Lytechinus pictus: one gene and its partners. The protein of the gene in region 3 purifies or fractionates together with the protein of the main gene of each other region. This does not show direct contact. Links are inferred from orthologs where the notes say so. Each region holds a gene or a part of one and is shown on either strand. Other genes may lie near its edges.

Evidence for each region.
Region 1: the proteins of uncharacterized protein LOC129254990 (region 3) and protein chibby homolog 1-like purify together in Homo sapiens (affinity purification with mass spectrometry; 3 studies listed by BioGRID and IntAct, with this or other methods). This does not show direct contact. The link is inferred for Lytechinus pictus from reciprocal best matches to the Homo sapiens genes YWHAE and CBY1.
Region 2: the proteins of uncharacterized protein LOC129254990 (region 3) and CREB-regulated transcription coactivator 1-like purify together in Homo sapiens (affinity purification with mass spectrometry; 3 studies listed by BioGRID and IntAct, with this or other methods). This does not show direct contact. The link is inferred for Lytechinus pictus from reciprocal best matches to the Homo sapiens genes YWHAE and CRTC1.

The regions. Positions count from the first base shown.
Region 1 is NC_087254.1:20,301,056-20,304,814, reverse strand, and holds the start of protein chibby homolog 1-like, read right to left. Parts: upstream 2,651-3,759; 5' UTR 2,555-2,650; intron 596-2,554; 5' UTR 583-595; coding exon 393-582; intron 1-392. UniProt on the Homo sapiens protein: Inhibits the Wnt/Wingless pathway by binding to CTNNB1/beta-catenin and inhibiting beta-catenin-mediated transcriptional activation through competition with TCF/LEF transcription factors.
Region 2 is NW_026974140.1:7,637,073-7,640,831, reverse strand, and holds the start of CREB-regulated transcription coactivator 1-like, read right to left. Parts: upstream 2,532-3,759; 5' UTR 2,475-2,531; intron 1-2,474. UniProt on the Homo sapiens protein: Transcriptional coactivator for CREB1 which activates transcription through both consensus and variant cAMP response element (CRE) sites.
Region 3 is NC_087246.1:3,534,936-3,538,694, reverse strand, and holds the start of uncharacterized protein LOC129254990, read right to left. Parts: upstream 2,513-3,759; 5' UTR 948-2,512; coding exon 603-947; intron 1-602. UniProt on the Homo sapiens protein: Adapter protein implicated in the regulation of a large spectrum of both general and specialized signaling pathways. Binds to a large number of partners, usually by recognition of a phosphoserine or phosphothreonine motif.

The DNA of each region.
Region 1 (3,759 bases), on a different chromosome or scaffold from region 3:
AATACTAGCGTTTTTCAATCATTGATACAATTTTTCAATAAAAAAATAAATATAGACTGATGGGAAATATCTAAAAAAATTACAAATTTGTTCATTTGTATGAGGAGTGTATGATGTAAAGGAAGAAAAGAAGAGAAAGGAGATGAGAACAAAGAGGAAGAAGGAAAAGGAAAAGGAAAGGAGAAGAACAAAGATGAGAAGGAATGAGAAAGAAATGGGGGTGGGGGTAAGGAGAACAAACAAGAAGGAAAAAGGGGGATTGAGGAAGAAAGAATGAGCAATAATAAGAAGAAAATGAGGAATATAGAATAAGACAGAGAAAGAGGATGTAAGAGATAGAGGAAAAAATCAGAATTATTAAGAACCGGTATTCAACAAAGGGCCTAACTCACCAGCAATCCACACCCCATTGTCTTCATCAAACTTGAGTTCTTGACCCCCGAGTTTGACCTTTGGCTGTCCGTAGGTCATCCCATACTCTTCCTCTCTGATGGAGCTCTCCAAGCGATTAAGATTATTGAGAGAGGCCGACCTTCTAGGAGGGGTCTTCTTTGTATTGAACTTGTTCCCGAGAAGAGGCATGCTTGTGTGGTCACTGTCAGAATAAATGAAATTGGATAGAAAATCGTCAAAATTCATGAGGAAAATTTAAATAATCTAATTATATTAAAGATGTTGATTCTTTTTAAATGAAGAGTGAGCAGTATAAAGAGACAGTTGACTGATTTATCAATTCAAATAATCTATTTTTGAAAATAATTTCTCTGACTCTTCATTAGGAAAAAATTAAGCAACCCAAAAAGTTTTCCTTTTGAATTTTAATGTTTTTGACGACACCATAATCGATTGCAAATGCACTGGTCTGCTTAAATCAGCTCATTTACAGCTGACAGAGTAAACAGTGCCGGCACTGGTGATTGAATTCTCATTTTCTAAATCTTTTTATTACATAATTATTCCAAAAAGAATGATTTTTATATAAAATTAATTCACGAAACTAAAAAAGAAATGTATTATCAGCCATTTACACATTTTATGGCTGGATTCATGAAAGCAAAACATGGTACAACAAACAAACTGCATGCAACCATGGCAATAACTTACAAATCACTAATAAATGTGAGGTTGGTCGCATCACATATGTGGGTCCAAATCACTTGCTCACTGCAACCATCCTGAATGTGGGGAATCGACATGTAGGACTATGGTATGCCAATGCTGTACAGAGCACACACTTTAAAAAATCATTAAAATGTCACTTTTGTGACCAAAAATCCTAATTTCCATACAGTTGCAATTCATTTTCCATTAGTATTTCGGTTGGGAATAATTTTTGTATTCACCAGAGCACTCAAAGACTTGAATTTTGGGAATATTTTTGCATATGCCCTCTATGGTGGAAAGTAATGTGGCAAGAAAATTGTCATTTTCAATCTCTGTTTTTAATTTAGAAAAAATAAAAGAATTAGGATCCAAGTTATATGATGAATAGCTATAATAGTAAATGTAAACTGACAGTGTCAGATAATCAAGCATTTGTCCTTAAGAAAAAGAGAAAATAAGCCAAACATTGCCAACCTTATTTTGCCACACATGGAGCAGGCCTACTACTAGTCACAGAACAAGGTTATATCAATCATTATTACCTATGCCTTTTAGCAAATAAATAAAAGTCATATTTCGAGACCAACGAGGTAAACATTTGCCATATTGCCCTCCCCGGGCTTTGCCCATAGGAATCCTGTACAAAACAGAGGGCAATATTGGCCATATTTCTGCTAATGCGCTTGCGCAGAAGGAGCCGAAGTTGATCGCTATTTTCAGTATTTAAAAAATTTGGCTGGAACCAGTTTATGAACCAACATATTGTAGATTTCTACGAGTTAAGTGCATGTGCGCGCCATACATGATGCGCGACTGCAGGGCAACATTACAATTTACGTCACAATTGCTTTATTTTATCAAGCGTTACTTCGCTAAGTTCGTGAATAACCTGAAATCAGAAGTAGACTGTAGTGATAAGCAAACAGGCTTATAAATTGTTCAAAATAACAGCTTGAATTACATTACATTTACGACAATGACAATTGAACCAGCCAGGGATTTGGCTCCCAAACTGCAAACTAAAATAAAATTATAAATTAGGCCTATATTAATATTTTAAAATAAAAATAGTTGTAAACTAGTCCTGAGCAATTCGACTGATTGTATCACAGATTGGTAATTTAAACCCATCGTCATTATTCAACCTTTATTAAGGCTACATTTTAGACGGGCTTTAAAAAGGGTGGCAATTAATGGCATCAATCTCGCGCTCGCTCATCGCTCACAAACGTCAAACGCAAACCTAGTTCAGTCTCACTTCAAACAACATAAATCTAAATATATGGGACTTAAGTCGGGCAAACTTGGTAGTTTACTCCGAGTTTACTGAGCAATGGTTGTCAGTAAACCTGGGAAATTGCCTTTCATACTTTTGTAAATATCATTAACAATAAACCAGAACCATAATAAAACATACATCAATTTGAGGAGAGATCTAAATACCACTTACGTTTTGTCAAGTTGAACACCTGTCCACAAAAGTAGAAGTTAGAACCGTATCGAATCGCTTTTGTTTGTTTTTTTTTCTGCTGAATTTTTGACGAGAGAGGGCCCCCCTAGCTCATCACCACTGGAAATTTCAAGTTTTTATCAAGAGGAACTGAAACGAGATTTGATTTTCTGTCAAATTTAATTTCATTTCAATTTTCAATATCTTTTTTTCTGTCTTCTCATTACTTAGGCCTATTACTTATAATTCTCATTTGTCATGTTCTATTGGGCACCTCAGCATGGGCCGCAGAACCAAGGAGGAGGGGCTCCCGGGGGGCGAAATTATTTTTCCCACCGAGTTCTGGACCGACATATGAATATTCATGACTTGTGTCTTCGGATTGAGAGTACGCATGCGCGTGGACTTCGTCTCGACCACTGCCGATCGTAAGCATTCACGTTGCTCAGAATGAATTAGCATCGTCAAATTACCGGTACCCTTACATAGTTACATAGGCCTTATAGGCTTAGATCTATATATATATATATATCAAATTCTTAAACACTTAATAAACTAGCTGCCATTAATGGCAAGACATGTGCTTGGGTAGGGCTAGCTTAGGCTAGCGCATTAACTTTACCTCAAATCTGGACCTGTCTAATGCCTAATACTAATAGGAATAGCCGACTAATGCCATGGTTAACTTCGAACTTGTTAATTCCGAACTTTACGTTTGATTAGGTTTGGACCAATATTAGCTTATTTACCAAACTTTAATATGTCTAGTCCGTATACAGAACCAGTCCTAGATCTAAAAAAAAATATCTTAGTTCTAGTCTAGTCTCTAGATCTAGACTCTGATCTACGCGCTACAGCGTACAGCATGGAACCACTAGTGTACCGAAGGGGGGGGGGGGCAGACTGCCCCCCCTGACGAGTCACAACTGATCCAGGGGACGTGCCCCCCCCTTGAGAAGCCAAATTAATAATTTGTAATGTCAAAATGCAACGAAAAAAGACGTTTGTCCCCTCTTTTGAACGTGAAGATCTTTTTTTTTTTCTTGTCAATTTTTTTTCAGCTACGAAATCCTTAATTTTGGGTGAAGACGGGGATCAAGATCACTGACGTTAATTTGTGCCTAACGTTAGAATACGTTCCATGCACGCACTGGTGTACCTAGGATTTTCCAAAAGGGGGGCAAATTTTTTAGAGGATATTTCGT
Region 2 (3,759 bases), on a different chromosome or scaffold from region 3:
GGAATAAAAATTAGAATGAATCATTTTTCCTAAATAAAAATTCTCACAGAATAATTATTCAACTTCAATTTTATAACAAGTATTGAAAATATTTGTAAACTTTTTTAAAAAGTGTTTTGATATTTGAAAAAAACAAACAATATATGCAGATTCAGATATTTAATTTTGATAAGGAAAATATATTTTTTCATGTAAAACCACCGATTTATCTAGTAAAGAACATTGATTATTTTGTATTCTCCACATAGCTATTTAAGAGCATATAATTCCTGAAAAACTAAAACAATGCAATTTTCATGTGAAACCATACATTTATCCAGTAAAGCACATTTTCATGTTAAAACCACAAATTTATCCAGTTTTTTTTTTCATAACCTCCACATAACTATTTAAGGGCATATAATTCATAAAATCTTTTTAAAAATGCACTGAAATGCTGACATACAGTTTTGGAGCATTTACAAACACTAAAAAGGGGCATTAAACAAAAGTATATTCAGATGTACAAACACTGCAGATATTTGTTGTTGTTGGTGTTAAAGGCAAAGTGTCTATTTGAATATACCGAGAAAAATCAGACAAGCATAATCATAAATATTTCATAACAAGTGGAACGCCTCTGGCAGTCTCGCCTGCATTACGCGATTTAATATAGCAGCAGTGCTAACTTTGAAAACTACTATAAAATAATCATTCACAAAAACACCAATCATATAATGACATAATATCACGTTCATTGACCATGAATGACATTTGAACGGTGACTTAAGACCACATTTCATTCACTCTATCCATAAACTTTCAAAGTTATGATGGCAATTCAACAATTACCCCAACATGGCCTAAGTTTATTGACCTTAACTGACCTTTGACCTTGGTTTTGTGACCTGAAACTCACAGGGGATGTTCAGTGATACTTGATTACTCTTATATCCCAAGTTTTATGAACTAGATCCATAAGCTTTCAGAATTAGGATGGTAATTCAACAAATACCCCCAACACGGCCAATGTTCATTGACCTTTAATGACCTTTGACCAGGGTCATGTGACCTGAAACTCGTACAGGATGTTCAGTGATACTTGATTACTCTTATGTCCATGTTTTATGAACTAGATCCATAAACTTTCAGAGTTAGGATGGTAATTTAACAAATACCCCCAACACGGCCAAAGTTCATTGACCTTAAATGACCATTGACCATAGTCATGTGACCTGAAACTCGCACAGGATATTCATTGATACTTGATTAACCTAATGTCCAAGTTTCATGAACTAGATCCATAAAGTTTATTGACCCTAAATGACCTTTGACCTTGGTCATGTGACCTGAAACTCAGGCAGAATGTTCACTAATACTCGATTAACCTTATGTCCAAGTTTCATGAACTAGATCCATAAATGTTCAAAGTTATGATAGTAATTCAAAAAATACCCCCAACTTGACCAAAGTTCATTGACCCTAAATGACCTTTGACCTTGGTCACGTGACCTGAAACTAGAGCAGGATGTTCACTAATACTTGATTAACCTTATGCCTAAGTTTCATGAACTAGGTCCATATACTTTCTAAGTTATGATGTCATTTCAAAAACTTAACCTTAGGTTAAGATTTGATGTTGACGCCGCCGTCAAAAAAGCGGCGCCTATAGTCTCGCTCTGCTATGCAGGCGAGACAAAAATTGATGTAAAATAATATAAAATTTTAAAATTAAACAACTATTTCACAGTTATATACACAATATGGACAGTAGGGAAATGAGGAGCCTGAACGGATGAAGTCACACACTCACTAAATTGTATAAAATGTAATATTAAAATATTTCATTTTCCCTCCAAGGATGTAAAACATTAATCATGTTTGATATTTAAATAACTTAGGATTCAATCAAGAGCTTAAAATGAGATAATTTATGTGACTACATAACACTGATTCTCTAATGTGCATACCATTGTCCTTTAAAACTAATGGCAAGTCCATGGTGAAACAGAACACAAAACTTTTAAATTCCTCAACTTTCTTATTCTTATTCCATATTTGCTGCGCGGATCATTATGAAGCGTATCTCTTTCTACGCATCCTCAAATGCCCAGATGTGAGACCAGGGAAAATACAAAGGTATATTTTGCGCCGTCTCTGCATGCAAATTCAATACGTGCATACAGACTGAATATAATACAAATAATATACCTATCCCTTCCCGATATTCAGAAAATCTAGTGCAATACGGTTTTGTAAATGACCAGCTCAGATGTCTGATGCGGATAATAATACATGACATAATGGAAGCTGCTCACATACGATGTCATAGACATATCAATTTAACAATTTACAACTTTCCTATTCTGTGATGGATTTTCACCAATTCTTCAATATTTGTTTTCTCTTATTTTGCTGCTTTTATTAGAATCAACATATTGTCAGGGTGAAGTTCCTGTTTAAAATTTGAAAAAATAAAAATGATTTTTACGTACCTTCTCCAACTTGTGTCACTTGGCGGTGATAGGTAGGGTGCACTGTACGGTGCTGCTTCGTGTTATACAGTCAAGGAATATAAATAAACGTTCAGATATTAAAGAGAATTCACAAAACATTTAGCAGTTTGCTTGAAACAATTCTTTTAAATATAATTAATTAATGCACATAAAGATCTGCAATAACTAACTCCATTGTAAAGAGTAATAAGTAACCTTGTTCAATAGTCCATACGCTATGCTGTTTCAAGTGGAGGAAAATCCCCAACGTTCTTGCAGCCCATGCATGTTTATGTATTGATTTGTGATTCATGTTTGTAATTCTAACCTAAGAAAAAAATAAGTGCATAGATCCTTTCTCATCACAAGTAAAGTGGTTTTATTAAAAAAAACATATTGAAAGGGCAAAAAACAAATCAAATCACACCTGAACACTTTCCCCCTAAATAATGTGTTTTTCTCACAATTACAGTAACTGAAGAATGATATTAAGGATTTTTTTCCTTTCTAAGAGAGTGACAAGAAGACCTTGCCAAGTAAAATGGAAGGTTTTAAATCTGCCTTGCACTATGCATTATTTGCCAGGCATTATTATCAGTACGTGTCAATTTCATGAATATTTCAGAGGCTTGAAACTCGAGGGAAAAACCGACTTTCTACAGACTTCCTCAAGCCACCGGCACTCTAGCCTCACATCAAGCACTCATAAATTAAATATCTGTTATTACTGTCATATTTTAAGACAGATACAGAACCATCTTGTCATTTTTTAAGAGTATTTTTTTATTATACTCTAGAGTATAATTTTTTTTTTTTTGCATATGGAATAGAAGTAATTCCACTTCTTAAATTCCATTTTGATCTGATCAGTAAGTTATTGCATAAACTCGAGAACAAAAAAAGAGAAAAACATCTTATTTTCTCTAAATTGAGTAACAAATTTATTCTTTGGCTTTCAAACTGTGTTCTATGACTTCTTTCTATATATTTTTAATCTATTGTTTACAGGATATTGAATACGTCATACCTGATAAAGACACCATAATATGCAAACATGACATGGGCTTTATTTATGTAGTTTCCCACCTAATATTCCTTTTCTTAATGAATATTTTCACAACATCAATAAATTCTAATTAAGAATGAAATTCCATGATAAAGTGAATTGTATTGATGATGAGAATATTGAGAAAGCAATAATACTTAAAACTGAAATAAAATGAAATAAAAATAGGAAAATAAACATAATATACCTGAAGAAGCTTGTAATATAACTGGCATGAAG
Region 3 (3,759 bases):
CCGAAAATCCCCGCTTAAAATCCTAATTTCTGACTTGATATTTCCAGAGCACCCGAAGGCTTAGTTCAGATTTAAGAACAAAATCGAAAAATCACTAAAATGAAAAAACTGATTTTGTTCAGAGTTCAAGATCTATTTTCTGGCAAATTTATGATGGTATCTTCAAAATGCAATGAAAAAGGCAATTTTACACTATCAAAGAACGGATCTTGTGCGTTCCGGCCGGCTTTGGGCCGCTGAGCTAGCAGCGCAGCCTAACCAGTTCGTTTGGCAATTATTTCGGGGGCGACTTCCAGATTTTATGCCGCCCCCAAGCATAATTTGGGGTGATTTTGGGGGCGACTTTAGGCATTTCCGGGGCGAATTCGCCCGCCGCCCCCGTGTATTTTTTCCCCTAGGGTATGTGTGCTATGGTATGAGTGACGCATCTTCGGGACCTGATTCGCTTGCGTACAATTGCGGCAACAGGGGGCATTTGCACCCCCCCAGAAATTTCAAAATCTGAAAAAAATGTACACATATAGTAAATGCTGCTCTGGTGCCGCCACTGACGGCAAACTAAACTTGTTATAATAAATTTCAAACTTTTGAAGAATACTAACCTCTAATCTGACCTTTTTGACCTCCTCTACTTTGTCTTGGTCACCTTCTTTTGTTTTATCTTTTTCTTTCTGCTCAATGCTGCTGACAATGCGCCATGAGGCACGTCTTGCTCCTATTACATTCTTGTAAGCTACTGACAGAAGGTTCCTTTCTTCTACTGATAAATCTTCATCACCTGAATTGGCCACCGTTTTCATATAGCTAACCATTTCTGCAAAAGAAAAAAAAGATTTATACTGCTTTAACAGATAAATACAAAAGTTATACAGTGCATACCAGAAAAAAAGATTATTACAAATTAAGTGGAGCGCCTCTGGCAGTCTCACCTGCATCACACCATTCATCTAAGCACCGCTAATTTAAAAAAAATACTATCTAACATAATTATTCACAAAAAATACAATTCATATAATGATACAATACTATGTTCATTGAAAATAAATGACATTTGACCTTGATCATGCGACGTAAGACTTGTCAGTGCTACTTGATTACCCCTATATCCACATTTCATAAACTATATCTATAAACTTTGAAAGGTATGGCAGCAATCTAATATTTACCTCCAAAATGGCCAAAGTTAATTGACCTTAAATGACCTTTGACTTTGGTTATGTGACCGGTCATATGACCCAAAACTCGCATGAGATGTTCAGTGATATTTGATCACTCTTACATGTATGTCCAAGTTTTATGAATCAGATCCATAAACGATCAAAGTTATGATGGTAATTCAACAAATACCCCCATCATGGCCAAAGTTCATTGACCTTAAATGACCATTGCCCTTGGTCATGTGACCTGAAACTGGCACATGATATTCAGGGATACATGGTTGCTCTTATGTCCAAGTTTCATGAACAAGATCCATAAAATTTTAAAGTTATGACAATTCCTCAAATAACCCCAATATGGCCAAAGTTCGTTGACCCTAAGTGACCTTTGACCTTAATCATGTAACCTGAAACTCATGCATGATCTTCAGTGATACACTTTTACCCTTATGTCTAAGTTTTATGAACTAGGTCCATATAACATTTCAAAAACTTAACCTTGGTTAAGATTTTGATAAATTTCACAAAAGTGAGCACTAAATGCAAGTAATTGTGATTTTTTGTGAAATAATGGATGAAAACATGATTACTAACGAAATGTATCATTATTTTGTCATGTCATGTATGTAATAAATGAAGCATGTTAATATTCAAAAAGCCACCAAATGCCCTGACAGTATTATGTACAATAATGGGGACAAAATAAATTTACAAGAGTAAATACTAAAATGCACATTACTAGTATTAAAGGGGAATCCAGCCTTGGCCATAAAATGTTGTGTTGGGAAGGAGAAAAATAAATTAAACAGAATGGTGAAAGTTTGAAAGAAATCGGACAAGCATTAAGAAAGTTATAGCTGTTTTAAAATTGAGATCACTAATACTATGTAGATTTCAAATTGGCAACTGGGGAAGTAAATTATGACAAGGGGCAAGGACAACTTTCCCATAGGCCATGTACTTTATTATCAGGGATTTGTGGTTTACTTTTAAGTACCCATTCCACTGGGGCAGTAATCTAAATATAACCCAGGTAGTATATTTTTTTTATGTCCTCATGAACGAAAAATATAATTTGAAATAAAACTTATAGGAAAAATGACATTTTAGCCATAATATGTATTGGAGTACATGAAAGAGTAGTCCTTGCCTTACATAACTATGACATCCCATATGCGGCCAATTTGAAGTCTCCATGGGTATAGTGATTACCAATATTTACAACTTTTAAAAATTCATAACTTTCTTGTTGTTTGTCCAATATTGTTCAAACTTTCACCTATCAACTTGTCCGATTTTTCTTTTCCTTACAAATACAAGTTTTCATTTGGGTTGGATTCCCATTTAAGATAAGCGAGTGGAATACTGGCTAAAGACATAATTTTTAACGAAAGATAAATGCAATTTATGTGATCAATGCTGCATTTTGACATTCAAAATGGCCGCCATAGGCCCATTATACATTGTGTACGATGCGATTGGAGAAATTAATTTTCACAAGAGTAAGAACTACAAAATGCATGTAATTGTGATCACGGAGTAAAATAATGTGTGAAAACATGTTTTCTAGCGAAACATACATGTATCATTTCTTATGTCATGCATGAGATAAATGCTGTATTGTGAAATTCAAAATGGCCCCTATAGGCCCTAACACTATTACCTATGTAAATGGGGACATGTAGGTTTGTAAGAATTTTGATTTACCTAACTATGAAATCCATAAAATCCTGTTGTATGATAAAACATTATTTGAAAACATGATTTTTATAGAATATAGCATTTCTTCTGCCATGTAAGTGATAAATACTGTATTTTGACATTCAAAATAGCTGATGCAATCCCTAATTAAATTATGTTACATGCGTATAGGGAATCTACTTTTTACAAGTGTGAGAACAATAAAATGCATGTACATGTATCTGCGATGTATGAGTAAAAATATTGTCTTCAAAACATGATTTCTAAATACAGTAGATACATCACATATTGGTCATGGAGGTAATAAATTCTGTACTTTGATATAAAAATGGCTGCCAAAGGTTCTAAAAGTATTATGTACATTGTAATTTGGGACATACGCTTTTGACAGAATTTGACTTTGCTTGACTATAAGTATTGCGTAAGAGTGAAATATTGTCTAAAACCATGGTTCCTAACGAGGTATATCATGTCTGGTGCATTTAAGGTGATAAATGCTGTATTCTGAAATGGAAAATGGCTGCCATGGGTCCTTATTGTATTACTGTATATACAATTTGAATGAGAACAGATAATTTTCACAAAAGGGCATATGGCGGCCATTTTGAATTTTGAAATATAATATTTATCACCTAAATTTTAGATGATATATTTCGTTAGTAATAATGTTTTCAGACAATACTTTACTCATACAACACCATTTAGTCAAGCAAAGCAAAAATGTATCAAAATCATTTGTCCCCATTCACATTGTACATAATACTGTTGAGGCCTGTAGCGGCCATTTTGACTTTCAAAATACAGTATTTGTAACCAACCTGGCAGAAGAACTAATATATCTTGTTTGAGATTATGCTTTCAGACAAAATTTTACTCATAGATCACAATTACGTGCATTTAT